Linked DNA regions of Struthio camelus. The protein of the gene in region 2 purifies or fractionates together with the protein of the main gene of each other region. This does not show direct contact. Links are inferred from orthologs where the notes say so. Each region holds a gene or a part of one and is shown on either strand. Other genes may lie near its edges.

Evidence for each region. The genes of interacting proteins can lie anywhere in the genome.
Region 1: the proteins of ASB2 (region 2) and RNF7 purify together in Homo sapiens (affinity purification with western blotting; 3 studies listed by BioGRID and IntAct, with this or other methods). This does not show direct contact. The link is inferred for Struthio camelus from reciprocal best matches to the Homo sapiens genes ASB2 and RNF7.

The regions. Positions count from the first base shown.
Region 1 is NC_090950.1:15,209,349-15,217,421, reverse strand, and holds the start of RNF7 (RING-box protein 2), read right to left. Parts: upstream 3,198-8,073; 5' UTR 3,143-3,197; coding exon 2,965-3,142; intron 42-2,964; coding exon 1-41. UniProt on the Homo sapiens protein: Catalytic component of multiple cullin-5-RING E3 ubiquitin-protein ligase complexes (ECS complexes), which mediate the ubiquitination and subsequent proteasomal degradation of target proteins.
Region 2 is NC_090946.1:66,721,374-66,729,432, forward strand, and holds the start of ASB2 (ankyrin repeat and SOCS box protein 2), read right to left. Parts: upstream 3,330-8,059; 5' UTR 2,994-3,329; intron 1-2,993. UniProt on the Homo sapiens protein: Substrate-recognition component of a SCF-like ECS (Elongin-Cullin-SOCS-box protein) E3 ubiquitin-protein ligase complex which mediates the ubiquitination and subsequent proteasomal degradation of target proteins.

The DNA of each region.
Region 1 (8,073 bases), on a different chromosome or scaffold from region 2:
ATCTTCTTGTTTGTTTTCAGCTTGACATCTAAGACAGGCATCTAAAAGTAAACAAGAACAAAACCCAATTTGATGCTCAGGATACTGTCTGAAGAATTGTTTGTTAAAGGAAAGTATAAACTCCAGAACATAGGTAAAATCTAACATTTTGCTGGATCAGCCCTTTAACATTAAACTGTCCTCCCACCTAAAATTTAAAAGAGTGCACACGACACAAGGAAATACGTATCTGCAAGAGATCAGAAGGACTACAAACTGTTCAACAACTTTTGTTTATTTTCCATTGCTTCAGTATTTTCACAACTTCTGCTGAAAAAAGTATTCTCCATTTTGCAGATATGACAGCCAGATTTGTGCCAAGGCACTCGCACATACCAAGACCAGAGCAAGCGCATAGCCAAACCCTAATTACAGGGCTTTGTTTTTCAGATGCCAACATCTCCTTTTAAGGAAGTCATTCAAAAATTTGATGGTCTTTAGCCTCTACATCTCCCACCTCACCCCCACCTACTACTACCATTTTTTTAAATGTTTGTTTTCCTTAAAGGATACCTGCTTGTAATTTTTGCAATACTGACATATGCACACAAACTATTTTTAAACACTGATCAGTCTGATAGCATAAATGAGGAGATAAATGGGGAAAACATCTAACTAAAAATATTTATCTTCTTTGTACGCTCCAGTCTCTGTGCCTACAGGTCTAGATGACAGATTCAGGATTACAGATGTACTAGGGACAACTTCCAGGCTTTGTACCGGGCCACACAAATACAGAGGAAGCATGCCTTCATTTCTCCTTTGCTCCAACTTGGACTGCCACAGACACGCATGCACAGATCGTGCACAGCAAAGCGTTCAACTATTATGGCAGCATACACAGTGCAAACACATCTTCATCTCCTGCAAAGGAGAGGTAATCGTTTAGACAAAAGCATCCCAGAGGCTGGACTGGGCCTGCAGGTCAACAGCTGGAACATTGTTCTACAACATACAGAACTGACATAACACAGGACTTTCAGTCCGAGTATTTCTTCTTTCTCTACCAGATACTGCAAGGTGCTTCTATTTCAGATTGACCTGCCAGATAGTCCTCCTTTTTCAGCTAATACAGAAGGAAGAGCATCCAAACTTTTAAGTATTTGTCCTTTCCTCACGAAGATGAAAGAAAGGCAGTAAGTAAAGTTTCTTGTTTTCTATTATGATAATTCCATAGCATCTAGGGGTCAAACTGCAGTGAAGATTCAGCCAAACTGCTTCAGTTTACAGCAGGGCACATCAAAATAAACTGATCTGGAGTCGCATCAGTATGCTGGGTAGTAAGCTGCGGTGGGCTAGTAGCTGCTGTAAAAGAAGCTTACCTATTCCAGCTCTGGGTTTGTTTCAGACAAAGAAGCAGCACGGACAGCTGAGGACACAAATCACTACACCTGTACCAACATAAGCTGCCCCCCAACTCCTGCATCACAATCCTAAGGGTGTTAGTCTGTGAAAGGTTAAATAAATTAAGTCAGTACTGCTGCAATCCTGCCCTTTCCAGACAACGCCTCTGCATTGCTGCTTCTTTCCCCTCGTGCTTCTGTGATCCTTGAAGCCCAAGTTGGTTCAAGGAGTTAAACCAGTAAAGAAAATTAAGCCAGCTCACATTTCCTTCCCCTGCAAAAAAAAAAGGCAAACCAACCTCAGATATGCAGAGCCAGCTCAAGTCTTGCTCAGCCTCCAACCTAAGGCTACTGCAGATGCGCTGGATCTACAGCAGCCAGACCAGGTCTGGCAGGGGTCAACATTAAATTGCTAAAGGTGGTAATAATAAAGTTTCACATTCAAAAAATCTGGTTTGTGCTAAATTTAAAAATTGTTCATTTATAATTTTTCATAATTAGACCAAGGGAGTATTTTTCATCTGAAATCATCAGAGAAAGCCGATAGCCACTTTTAAAAGTTTTCGTAAAACATCTGGATGACTTTTTGAGGACTTTTTACACTTCCCTTTAAGTGGAATGATTGTTTTTGTAACAGTCCTGAGTAATCAAGTGAAGTTGCCTCTCCAGCAGTTCTGTTTTCTCATAAATCATAGAGTAGCAGTAACAGCTGGAACAGGCAAATTCACTCCTAAAATTACGGTTTACTTTTAGCAGATAAAGCCAATTTCATAGTTCTGGGCTGGTCTCCATTCACCACCTGAGAGCAGGCCTGGAACAACTTCAAGATACGCTCAGAGAAAAGGCCGGTCTCCCACCGCCTCAGTCTGGGCTGTGTCTTTCCTGCAGGACACCTGCGTGCTTTTTCTGTTCCAACGACCCTTCTCCGTAAAAACACGGATCTGAGAAGTGGCTGCCCGGCACCTGCCGCGTCCCCAAGCGGGACCAAAGGTTAAGGCCAGAGCGGGCTGGCGCGGCAGGACCTCAGGCGACCCGTCGCGCCGAGCGCAGCCCCGCGCTGCCGACCCACCCAGGGGCTCCCGGGCAGTTATGTCGGGGATGACTCAGCACAGAGGCCAGGGCGGATACAGAGACACAGCGGAAGAGGAATTTACGGAATTTCCAAAGACCCAAAGCGGTCAGAAAGCACGAAGGCCAGCCAGTGAGGAGGGCTGCACCCGGAGAGAGTCTCCTCAACGCCAGGTAAGCGACGCCGTTGTTTTTCGCTGCGCTTCTCAGCGACGGTGCGCGCGGCTACGAGCGCGCCGCCGTCCCTCCGCTACCGCTTCTTCAGAAAGACGGGCGCCGCGCGTCTGCCCGCTCGGCCGTAACCCGGCCGGGCCGCGCTCGCCAACGGACGAGAAGCGGCCGGGGGGGGGCGGGGGGGGCGGGAGGCCGCCCCCCGCGTCTGCCCGCCCGCCCCCGCCGCGAGGGGAAGCGGCGCGGCGGCCGGGCGGGGCGGGAGCCGCCGCCGGCGACACCTCCCCCGCGGCGGGGGCGGCGGCCATGGCGGGCCGGGCCGGGCCTGCCGGGCGGCGCTTACCCATGACCTGCACGCGGCAAATGGCGCAGGTGTCGCACTCCACGTCCCAGCTCCACATGGCCACCGCGTTCCACTTCTTCAGCGAGAACATCTTGTCGGCGGCGCCCGCCTTGGAGCCCGAGGAGCCCGGGTGTGAGTGGGAGGCCCCGGGCTCGTCCCCGTCCTCCACATCGGCCATGGCGGAGGGGCGGGGCGGCGGGCGGCGGAGCGGGGCCGCAGCGCCACCCCGCGGCCGGAGGAAGGGCCGGGCCGGGCGGCTCCGTGAGGGGTGTCGGGGCCGGGCCGGGGTCTGGCCCCAGCTCCCTTGGATAAGACCAAGGCAAGCAATACCCATAATTATTTTAAAAGAAAAGAGGAATTTGGATTCCTTTCCTCACCTTAATCCAAAAAAAAAAAAAAGTATATAAAACTCATTCTTCCAAAATAGCGCCCCATCTCCTTAAGCCTACTTTGAAGTTTAATGTAAATTTGTTAATGTCGAAATTCATGCACAAGTTGAAAAGACAGACTGCTATAGTTAACATGAGGACAAACAAATTAACGGGAGTAATTTAAATTTTACAAGCAAAAGTTAGAAACAGCGTACCTTTCTTTTCCTCTTCTCAAGAGCTTCCAGTGCGTCGGCTGCACAAAGTTCTCCGAGCGTATTGCCAGCTGGGGCGTCGTGCTAACTTCAGAGTACTTGATTAGGCTGCGTTTAAGAACCACAACACTTACAATCTGTTCCAATAAGATACAATGTCATGGAGTTACACTAAAATAATGTGTTATATTAATAGTATGCATTTAAAGGAAATTATGCTTTAAATTATTTTAAGCGTCAGATGAAAACAAAGATTTTAAGGACAAAATCTTTGGCAGCACAAAGGAGACACAAAGGGTGTCTCTCTCTTATACCCAAAGAAACGGTACAAGCCTCCGCCGTCCAACAGGTACGAAGGTAGCATAACAGGACTGAAAATGAAATTCCACCTACTTCCATTCTCTCCTGTTCTCTGGAGCAGTAACATCATCAAAATCCTGATTCAACAGGGATTGGATTAGTTTAGTGCATTTATCTAGTTAAAAATTTCTGGTCTACTGTCCTCAATATTATCAGGCTATCACGTCCCCGATGGTTCACTAACATCACAGGAGACAGAAACCCCAGGGAGCTGCATTTCACTACATCAGTGATCCTGCTTAATTACAAAGAACCTATTTGTTGGAGCCCTCCCAGCCCTCTCATGCCAGCTGGGACACCGAATACAACGAAGCAGAGGAAACCTTAGAGTACTCCCATCACTCCAAGTGATTCCACTTGTATAAGTAGGGCAAGTTGGGTTTGAATATCTGATTATTATAAATTGCATAAGGAGAAAGTAATTATTTGAAGAAAGACCAGTTTCAATTTCTGTTTTAAAGTTTGCGAGGCTGTTAGTGTGGGGCCCAGAATTATTAAACAGTTTTCCAAACGTTAAATGCATGAAGCAAACAGAAAATCCCCATTTAAAAAAAAAAAACAAAACCAAAAAACCAAATAATTTTCTCAGCAGCTTTACATATGTATGTAGCATTTACTTTTATATGTCGTTTAGGACGTTTCTGTGGAGGTATACCATAAAACACTCCCATATCCCATAGCACAGCTTGAATGTGAAAGATCAACAGTGAGACATTGCAGATGTGGATGGACAATACTGATTCACCTCAGCTTGTCCACAGAACAAAAAAACTAAAGGAAAAAGTCTTCTCTGTCCCTAGTTCTGACCAGGGGTGGGCTGACAAACCAGCAAGAAAACCCGAGCTGGAGCTAAGACTTCTCATATCCGCTTGAGTAGAGAGAAGGGAGAGAGGTAGCTGCTTTTCTAGGAGAGCACAGGTTGTGTTTCTTTGGAAAAAGGTGCAGTAAGGAACAGTTTGCCAGAAACAGTTTCCATAGCTGGTTCAGGAAGTGGTTGAGACTTAAACAGTTCTACTAAGATGGACTGCTCGGTTTTACTAAATTTTAAGAACAGTTTAGGGCCATAACAGCTGGGAATAACCCCCATGAGGAAAGGGTAACTGGAGCATAATACATTTCTACCATTTTCCTACACTACCAATTGAAAAAATTACTACCAGAGGAAATCTGATAAGTTTCAGCCCCTCTTCTGACACTGGAACAATACAGTAAGTAATAGTAACAATAATATTAAAAAAAAAAAAAACCTATATTCTCATCCTAAATTCTAAGCACGTAGCTTTTATGATCTTTTAAACATGGATTCTCACTCTGACAAAATATGACTATAATGCTGTATATCGTTTTAATTAAATATGCACTTTATAAAAGTTAATTTAAGAAAAAGCAGTTTTGGCTAGATTACCTGAATTTTATGATCCATAATCAATCCCTTATTTTCTTCACCTTCAGGAACTTGAAAACTTTTATTTGTAAAACTCATAATTGAGGCTCTAAATCAGAACTGTTCTTACCTTCAGTTATGCAATGTTAAAACTCACACTACTCCGGCACGCTAAACAAAGACTTCTTTTTGCTTTCTCAGTATAGCATAAAACAAGGGAGTTCAAGTTGCTGAGAAGGAAATCATTTCCAAGTCATTCTGTGGGCCATGCTCAGAATGAATTATTTCTGGAGTAAGTGGTACACCTATCCAGCTTTCCAAGTGCCGTGAAGTAAGTGTGAATAGAAATAAAAAATTTTCACCACTGAACATCAGGTGAAAAAAAAAAAGATACTTTGCTCCTATCTTAGCTGGTTCACACTGCTCTCAATCCACACTGTCCAATTCCCAAATTCATAGTCGGCAGCCAGGGAAAGAACATTACTGGCTTGATGGCACTGAGCCTCTGGCTCAGCCAGAGTTGAGAGATCTGTAAACTTGGGAGGACCCACCATATGTAGCTGTGAGAGACTCAAGCTGCAGCATCATTATGCTGTATAGCAGAGTCTGAGGATAAACTGGACTATAGATTACGCACCAAAAAAACCCCAATCTCTATTTCCCAATCAGAGAGAAATACAATTAACCTACAGTGAAAATATTTAGATGCAAAACTGCTTCTCTCTCTCTCTCCCTGCTGACCTATCTTACCACAAGGTCTCTCAACAGGCTCTTAGCAGCTATCATATTTTTACTGCATCAGGAAAGAGAATATTAGAAAAGATCAACGACAAGGTTGTAACAACTACTGTAGTCACACACTTGTACTTCTTAGATTCAATTCTTTGTACCTGATCATATTCCTCCCTCCCCTGTTAAACTGTTATGGCACTTGTGAATCTGAATTAGTGGGACTAGGCATGATCTAGAAAAGTTTAAAAACAAATTTTGAAATTTGAAAAGAAAATGTATATGTAATTTTCCTGTCTCTGATGATATGTCTTCTTATACCTTTTCACATGGGTGTTTAATAATTTTAACTGGATCCTTGAATTTTGAACATATGTTTGGAAAGTAAAAATTTTCTGAAATTGAAGCACATTATTTCTGCTTTGTAGAGTATCAGCTGCCTCTCTCCCTATTTTTTTTAAACTTACATGATTAGCTGGATTGCTTAGGTGAATTCCCAGATACATAATTCTTTTCCAAAAAATATCATTTGTCTTTAATTGTTCTTATCAGAGGTGAGAGGGAAACTAGATGCAATTCTCCTCTTCAGTTGTAAAAACTCATTAGAACAACCTATAAGACAAAATGTAATTATATTTGGATGCCATCAAGATGTAGCACATTTGTCATGCATTTTGCAAATGCAAATATAAAATACACTTTTTAATAATTGGGCAATGCAAGTTTTAACCTGTAACTGTTCCTGGATTTCTTAATTTCACAGTGCTATAAGCAGCTTTTCCTGCACAACTGTGCAGGGTGCACTGCAGCTGAAGGGAGAGACAGCAACAAGTGGGAACAACGGGAACTGCTCTGTTGCTGACACGCCAGGGATAGAAAAACAGTCTGAAGTCAGTAAAATACCAAAGGTGGTCAGCAAAAACAATTACGATCCCTTCCTCTGGTCTTTGCACCTCTCCCCTTCATATAAGGGGCCATGAGGCACTACCAATTCCTTTCCTGAGCCTCCAGTTCAACAGAGATACAGTTCTGAATTGGTTCAGAAAGCCTGAGATGTCCTTTCATATAGGGCAGGGGAAAGAGAGACAGAGAGAGGGACACAGCAGGAGACATTGCTTTCAATAATTAGCGTGAAGGAGATGAGTTTTAAAACTATTTTTTCCAAATAAAAAAAATTAAGTGTTACCTCCTTTTTATGTCCTGACTAGCCTCCTCTCACCTCATCTACTCATACGCTCACTGTGTATGGGCCAAAATTTACATTAGCAGTGAAAGTTGCACAGCAAGTAAGAGTCAGGTACCTTTAACACTGTGTATCTTGCTTTATAGGAATAATTATTAGCTGAAAAACTACTATTTGGGGGAGGGGGCGCTATTTTATCATCTAAACAGCTCTTAAAAAAAAAAAATTACAAGCATTTTTGGAAAAATACTGTCCTGGCACTCTAAAATTCATTTGTTCCCCACAGACTCCTGTAGCTCACATGACACTGAGAAGTCAGCATACAAGAGTAGCACAGAACATAACAGCTCTTTCAGTGAGTTTTCCCTATGTACTTTTTCCACTGTGTTTATCTGTAAATAGAAATTCATTATTGCAGAGAGGAAGACTGCATCGGCTCTATTCATTCAGACTTTACTGAAGATGTCCTGTCTAAATGCAGGAACTTGAACCAAGTTTCTTTCAGTTACTCAAATGATTGTTCAGCTAGAATTATAGCTGCTCAGCCTATTGCATGCTACAGAATAGGAAAAAAAGGTTGTTTGACAATTGTAGATGGCAAGGTACATAATAGTAGGTATCTAAATTCAGAATATTGTTTTATTAATTGATTATAAATTGTATACATTTCTGGAATAATTTCAGAGCAAAGATACAGTGTAATTCAGTAGGAATTTATTCTGGATTCTGATTTTATGGGACATAAAAGAATACCCATCCAAAGCTCTGAGTGTTTGACATCCCATCTTCAAAACAGAAAACTTGCACAATTGCCTAATAGTTGCTTTCTTTTCATACTCCTAATCCCAGTTCAAATGAAGAGAGAGATAC
Region 2 (8,059 bases):
CTTGCTCAGACTGACCTACCCACTCTATTTGCTGGCATATTTTAATCCATTAAAATTAGCCCCTCTGCTTCATTCAGCTTCTGCCTGAAAACTCAGTTTTCTTAGGCGGAGGATGGATCAGCGAGACTCCTCTAACAGAAGCTGAAACCTGCTCCATTTGTCAATTGTGCTATCACGTGGATAATAGATGCATGGTGTGTCTGACTCAGGCCACGAGAGCAAGAGGCATGCCAGCAAGAGGCATGCTCTGCTCGAGGCAGAGCAGACCTGGCACCATCCTGTTCCACCTGGAAATGTTTTTCTCTGTAGCTATAGAGCCATGGGGCTCAGGCACAGATTCAAGTTCTTTCTGCAACAAGTTACTGTGAGCCAGGTGAGCTGTGATAACAGACTAAGTGCATGCCCTTAGCTTGAGGCTAATCCAAAGTAACCTGATTTAGTTTAACCTTCTTTCATTGTGGGCTAAGCTCGGCCACATTACATGGCACTGCTGCAGTCACACAGACTTACCCTGGCTCAACTGACACGGTAGGGCTAAGGTAATATGATCTGGTGGCAGAGCCATTAGTTAGTAGTGAACTACCTGCCACGACTTTACAAAAGCTAACTAGACTAATGTGCTATAACCTAAATATTTTCCACCTTCTATAAGAAAGGTGTGAAAAAAATCAATCTTCATTTGTAGGGATGGTTGAACTAGTAGTTCAGATGAGTACGATCCAACCAAAGTAGTCTCTCTAATTTCAGTGTGAATCTGCCTTTTTTGCTTTCTTTAAGCTTCATTATTGCAGGTTTAACATATTGGAATCAGATTTACAAATTAAATGCTGGGTTAACTGGTCACTCTAGGTTTTTGTGAGAGGTTTTAATGTCTGGCTGTCCCCTGCATTTCTCTGGCAGTCCAAGAGCCCATTCTTACAAGCAGATAACATACAGCATTGCTTTTCCTTTAAGAAGAGAACCTGAATTTTAAAGCTCTGATTACGGTGTCAATATTATTCATTACAGAACCCTTGCCTTCAGGTCTGAATTGCTTCATTACTGATCTCTCTTGGTAGCGAGACACATTTTGGCATTTTGCTGTCTGTGCTGCCATTTAATATCTCAGTTTGACAAGAGGTTTTGGATCTAAATTTATTACCATTTCCACACAGGGCTTGATCGTGCTCTCTCCACGTAGACAATATTCCTACCTGATTTTTAATTTTGCTGTCCTGATTTCAGTGAGAGTTTGTTTAAGATGCAGAAATCAGGCCTGTGACATACCTTAGTTGCAGTTAGTGACAAAAATATAAGGTAAGAAATTAAATGCTTGTGCCAGGGCCAGGCTGTGGAGCTCCTCTTTGCGTTAATGAGCAGCTGTACCTGGCAAGTCCCTGAAAGCAAAGGTACTACTCACCAGGGTGACTATTAGTAACCACTCACATTATGGTAAAATCCACAGACAAACACAATTATGTTGCTATTATATTTGGACTACAAGCTCTGTCAACATACAGTGTTTGAGAGAATGGGCCTCTGATCTCTGATGCAACATAAATAAACAACAAGGATTACAGCTGCCTTTGAACATGCAGAACCACTACTCAACACCATTAGCATCTGAAACAACTGGTCCCCATTGACAGCACTTCCTTAAAGAAAAGCTTAGCAAGGCTGCCTGTCCTTATTCAATAGACCCCAGGCAGCAGAATTAGCAGAATTACTTATTGCTGTCAGAGGAGGGTGGCAGGTGAGTGACAAGGTCATTAAAGGAGCAGAGCTGGAGACTTTGCCTGCCTTAGCACTCGGTTTACCCCGATCAGCTTGTAACTCAGTAGAGAACCTCAGTATTTATGGCTCAGCATCGGATAAACCACATTTCTAAAAACAAAAATAAGTAGTTGAGAGCCTGCAAAAGAAAGAGAAGAGGAGCAATATGCTTGTTTTGCCTTTTCTTTTCCGAGAAATGACTGAGTCCCAGATTCTGCAGATACTGCTCCACATGTTAGCCTTTACTTCTGAACACAGCAGGACATGACTGAAACTCTTTAGAGTAAATGAAGCTTCCACTTTAGTCCTTACCGTTGCACCTTTCAGGCCAGATCCTCTGCTGGCATTGGAAACTACACCAATTTACAGCACTTGAAATATTGACATTTTTGCTGTATTTTAGGTCAATTTCAAGATAAATCACTGCAGTTTTCCAAGTATGCTTGGAAGTAAATCATTTTTTTAAAAATAGAAAGATTTTCAGTGCCCATCAGAAGTGGAGCATTAGAAGAACAACCTCTTATACTGTCCAGCTACAGCTACAGGCAAACATATTTTGTACTAACAACTTATGCAAAGTGGTCAAGTTATAGCCCAGCGCTGAAGGAAGCAAAAAAGCTAGCTTTCCCAAAGGAATCCTCCAAGTAAACAAACCCCTTTGTCAAGCCCCAGCTGTTAAAACAGGTCACCTATCAGTCTGGCATATCGTACAATGCCATCAAATTATGATTCCAAACAGATTCTTTACTGCAAATGTATATATCTGCACGCTCTTATTTCTTCTTAGAAAGCATCAATTCATGTAGCATTCAGTGCAGTATTAGCTTTCTGTTGTACCAGCTGGAAAGCTTTAAGTGAAGGAAATCATTCACTTTTGTCACTTTTTTTCTTCACACTGCCCCTTGCACACTACACTCACTGTACCTTAGCATGCCATAAAAACGACGACAATTATTTCTGAGCAAACTATTCTAGGGAGAAAGACATAAGCATCACCTGCAAGTAAAAGAAAAATAAGGAAATGATGGAGCTACAGTTCTGCTTAACTATTCTAGAATTAACTTTAAACAGTAAGTGTTTTATGGCTTATTTAAAAAAATAAAAGTAGAAACACAAAAACTCCACAGATTATCTTAGGGTGTTAGGTTACAAATTGCTAGAGAAATAAGTATTTGCATAGCCATAGCAAACTGGCAGATTGAAAATACAAAATAAGTTCAAAACATGCACATTTGCATTACCTTTTTGTCCTGAAATAAAAGGCTAATAATATTGTTGAAATGAGTTATCTCCTTGATTAAGTCTTAATTCAGAAAATCCTCGTTGGTATTCATCTCCCTGCTTTGCCTGGATGTTTCGATCAACTGCAGGACAGCTTTGAAACACTCTCACTTTGAAGCCTGGAGTTTATTTCTGGATCACCCCATGATCAGCGAATACAAGCCAAAATATAAGTTGTTCTGAATCTCAGATTTCCTGTTTGAAGATGCACTGGAGAAACTTTTACCCATTCTAAAGTTCTTCTTTGTTGCATTAATCTGTGGAACTTCACTTCATCGAGCATCCTGTAGCTAAATGACACAAAGTTGACCTTTCTATTACATCATTATTTATTGTCCCTGACAAGCAGACCATATATGGACATGTTTCTGGAACCTAAAGAAAAAAAAAGAAATTACCGTATAATTTTGAAATAAAATATGTTATCCTGAAGAGTTTTATTTACTGGGGCGAAGGGATCTCAATGTACCTTTCCTGTAGCTGCTGCTTGTTAAAAAAAAAACAGGGCAAACATTACCACGGGTATTTATAGATGCTTTACAATGGTTCATATATTTTTAAGGCTACAAATGTGAGACTTCAGAATTCCAAAAGATGACAAAAGCAGCTGTGAACCCGTTCCAAGTAGTATTTGTAGGAGCTTACTATTGCAAAAGAACTGCTCTAATAACATGTAAATATGAAAGACAGACCCTATGTCAGATTACTTGAAGCCGTAAATGTGAAATGGTAGCCACCTTCCCCACATCTGGTACAGGGCAAGTTGGCCAAGGAAGAGTGAGCTCTGATCCAAGGATGAGCTAGAAGAAAATAATCAGGCACACATAGAAGAAATGGATTAGCTGGAACACGGGGATAATACTCAGTTTGGAAAGGTTAGTATGTATTGTCCAGCTTATATAATGAATGAGGGGGAACAGCACAATATGAAATCAAGATGATGCCTACACTTTTTCCTTCAGCTCTTACTTCACTGATCCCAGTGGCAAAACAATGCACATAAGTAGAACACACTGCAGATCATAATGGGTCTCTTTTTACTTGAGAATACCTTGTCAAACTTCAGGCTAGTTGTACTCACAGTGTCCATGCATAAACATCGTCCACTTAAGTCTTAGCAAAAGCAATCTTGAAGGGGGCATTTAGCAGGACCACATCATCTATAATATGTGATCTCTTCCAACTCACCTGCTTTGCTTTTAGGGTCTTTCAGGATCAGCATCATTCCCTCTCCTTGCCTGCTCCTTGCTCCGACTTGCTCAGGCCATTATATCACACATCCACCTTCTCTGCTGCCCGTTAAATTATTTGCCCCTTGTAACTGTGTGTTAGAGCAATTGTTTTGCCTATAGTTAACGATATGCAACAGTTACTGTGGCAGGTGAAGGAACTCTGGTTGTCCCTGCCAGGAAGGTGTGAAACTCTCATATCCCTGACAACATGTCAGCCAGCTCTCCAAGACTTTTAAACAATACCCAGACCTTTTTTCCTGATACTACGTCAAGATTGTAATGAGCCTTGGCTTAAAATCAAGAGTGAAAATCTCCCTGATTTAACCTTTCTGTTTGCCTTTTCGCTATTGCTCATTGGATCTACACCCTTGGCACTCTTATAATGTGCATGATGTCCCATTGACCTTAAGGAAAAATGCTGATACTTCGGTGTAGACTCACACCTTGCAAAGGCAAGGGTGCCTAAGTCTTCCAGAATGGACTATTTGATTAGAAAGAAGATACTGGGCTCAAGGTCCCAGATGTTATGAACATTGCAGGTGGTTCCCCACGTCATTCACACCACACACGCTGCAGTTCCCTCCCTCTCACACTCCTGGGTTTCCTTCCAATGCCCAGTCACCCCTCCCCACACTGAAGGATACTCTAGTCCTGAGACACAAAAGTGAGGAGCGCGTCATTGCAAAGTGTGAACCATGCCCTGCTTTTTTTCAGCTTCATCCAGAACAGACCATTCAAGCTGCCCAGCACTTGCCCAGCATGTTTGGGTATGTGCAGAGAGATATGTAGGACTTAGGGCATCAGACCAAGTGGTAAGTGTAACAGTTAGGTGTCTGCTTTGGGTGCAGGCTGCTTTGGTGCACAGCTAGCACAGCACAGTACTGTAACCTCTTCCCCACTCCATGTTTCAAACAACGAAATGCCACAGGATGGCAGATCACGGATGAGCACTGCCAGCTGTAGCTGACAAGGTGTAGAGAAGGCTAGCCAAGGAGAACCACCATGCAGGAGCTCTTTGCACGAGTGTCTCACTCAGTGCATGAAACTGGACATACATGGCAGCATATGTGCCCGTTGCTAGAGGATTGCAGCACTGTGGGCAACAGGGATCTGATCCACTTCAAGCTCCTACAAGTGCTGCTGCACCATTTTCTGATGAAAGCACAGGACTCTGCTTCAGAAGGTCTATTTTCAAATACCACTAACTCTCCCTTCTGTCTTGAGTAAACCATTTAACTCCTCTGTGTCTCATTTTTTACATTAGTGAAGTGGAAATAATCAAATGCATTAACTCAGAGAAGAGTCCAAAATTCCTTGCAGATGGGAAGCCAATGAGACTACTTATACGGATAAAGATTGACGAATAAGACCTTATTTAATTAATATCTGTGAAATACTTTGGTATCCTCAGAGGAAGACCTCATAGAAGTTTAAAATATTAATTACAGAAATATTACTATATAGGAATGAAATCATACATTTGGGGGTTGATTTTTTTCCAATAAAACAATGTTGTGGCTTTATTACAATGCATCCAAAGCATAATAATAACAGTCATTATGATTTATTAGCATTGCATCGGACTTTTTAATATTTCCCCAGGGACACAATCAGTTATGGATCTGCATTTTCAGCTTAACCCCAAGACATTTCAAGAGGTTACAAAATGTTACCTGTAAAAATAAATACATAAATTGAGCCCTTTTTTGGGACAAATTTCAAACTCAGTCACTGCATATGAGTAACTTTTATTTCTCTTTAAATAGAAAATGATGGAGATGATAGCCAGCTCTTACTGACGGGGAAGTCAGGGTCTCGCAAACAGGGTACAATAAAAGAGAGTTGAATCTGAGAGAAGACAAAGGAGGATTACCACAGGAAAACAAGAAATGGATAAACAAACAGCAAGATTCTCTTTATTCTTCATATTTCTTCAAAAGAACCAGCAGAAGTAGGTTTAGGAAAGCACACTTAACATTTGCTCCATTTCTGGATTTGTTCACAAGCTCAGCTTCCATTACTTTGAATTAAGTAGCCCTTCAGTTCTACTAAGCACCGTTTTGTTTTAAAATACACCTGAATCAAGCAACTAAGGCTGGTGAAAAAACAAAGTTAATTTATGCAAACCAGGAGACCAATAGGCTTGTTATAGACACATTTTCTGGGCAAAGCTGGCAATATTTCTGCCATCTCATGAAGAAATGCATGTGAGAATGGACATAACCACAAACTATATTCTCACTGATAGCATATTACTACTGATGATGACTAACTCTACTGCAGTTGGCTCATGGGTACAGTTCTGAAAGCAAGAAAATATTGATTAGTTGCAACAGAATAACAGTCTCAGGACATATAATGTGGTTCCACTCATATGTAATAGTTTTTAAGCGTATGAATATAGCAACTACTGAATATACGCAGATACGAGATGCAAAAAATATGCAGCTAGGGGACCTATTGCATTATGCAGTTGCACAGTCGCTGTTGGATTAGGTTTTCTGCTGACAATTTCTCATGTGTAAAGCAGAGCACATCACAACGCATCACAATACTTTGTCACAGCACAGCGTACTACTTTATGCACCAGTTACCTGGAGCAGTTCACTTGATACTTATACCTTGTCTGAACTTTTTCACTACAGAAAGACAGCAGTATATTTTAGGTGGCATATTTCACTGAGAATATAGATCTAGGGCACATGTCTCTGCACCTTTTACAATCATATTCCAGTGAGCAGAGCCTCAAGCTTTGCCTTACAATTAGTGTGGGCCATGCTGTGCTATCCTCAGACACTCCCAAAGATTAAATGCATATATCAGAACCAAAAACAACCCTCCTGTATCTCCATGTTCAAATAACAAGAAGACAGAAACTCCCACAGGGGAAGATGGTTTCAATTTCCTTTGCAAGAACTAATGATTGCTTTGGCCACAGTACCCTGAGAGAGGCAAGGAGCCAGAGGCACTTCTACGGGAAAAGGTGCAGAATGTCACACGTGCCCAGGGTAGGGAATACAATATACATTATTTCTTGCTGACTTTGCTGCCTAAATACTCCAGTGTTGCAAAGATGTAGGTGTTTTGAGTTCTCTCGACTAAGAACATAATTCCTCTTTCAGGAGGAATTCATCCCACTCTAATAGCTCCTGATTCACACCCACAAGTCCACAGGGTGGACTTTGGCTCAGTATACATTTTCCATGTCTGCACGATGGCTCTTCATAGAGAGTTTTCACCTCTCAGTTACAATCAAAATGGAGTCCTCACTCCTTTAGTGATATGACATGAGCTAAAAAGGGAACACCTAACATTCAGGTTCCTAAGCCCCATTTCAGATATCTGATGACTCAGCCTGGACCTGACCTCCCAGTGAGCTCTGGAAGAACCTACAGCTACTGCACTCATAGCCTCCCTCTGCAAATGTCATCGTAAGGTCACATCCACTGACTCAAACTGAAAGAGGAATCAGTCAGAGGAGAACATGAAATGCTAATACAAAACGAACATGACCTGAAGACTACATAAACAAATACGCGTCCCTTGGAGGAGGTGGGAAAGCATAAACATTATCTTTTAGTTACACTTTACTGTGCAAATATCATTTATTTTATGTTACAATGTGCATTAGTAAGAATTGTTATGAAAGGCTAGTTCTTTTTCTTGACCTTTATAAAATACACAAAATTCAGAGATATTGCTGCAGCCTCATTGCTCTGAGGCCCTTGTAGGGGAGGAGGACAAGAATGCCAGCATGAGACACAGACTACTGTGTATAGCAAAGATACTGGCAA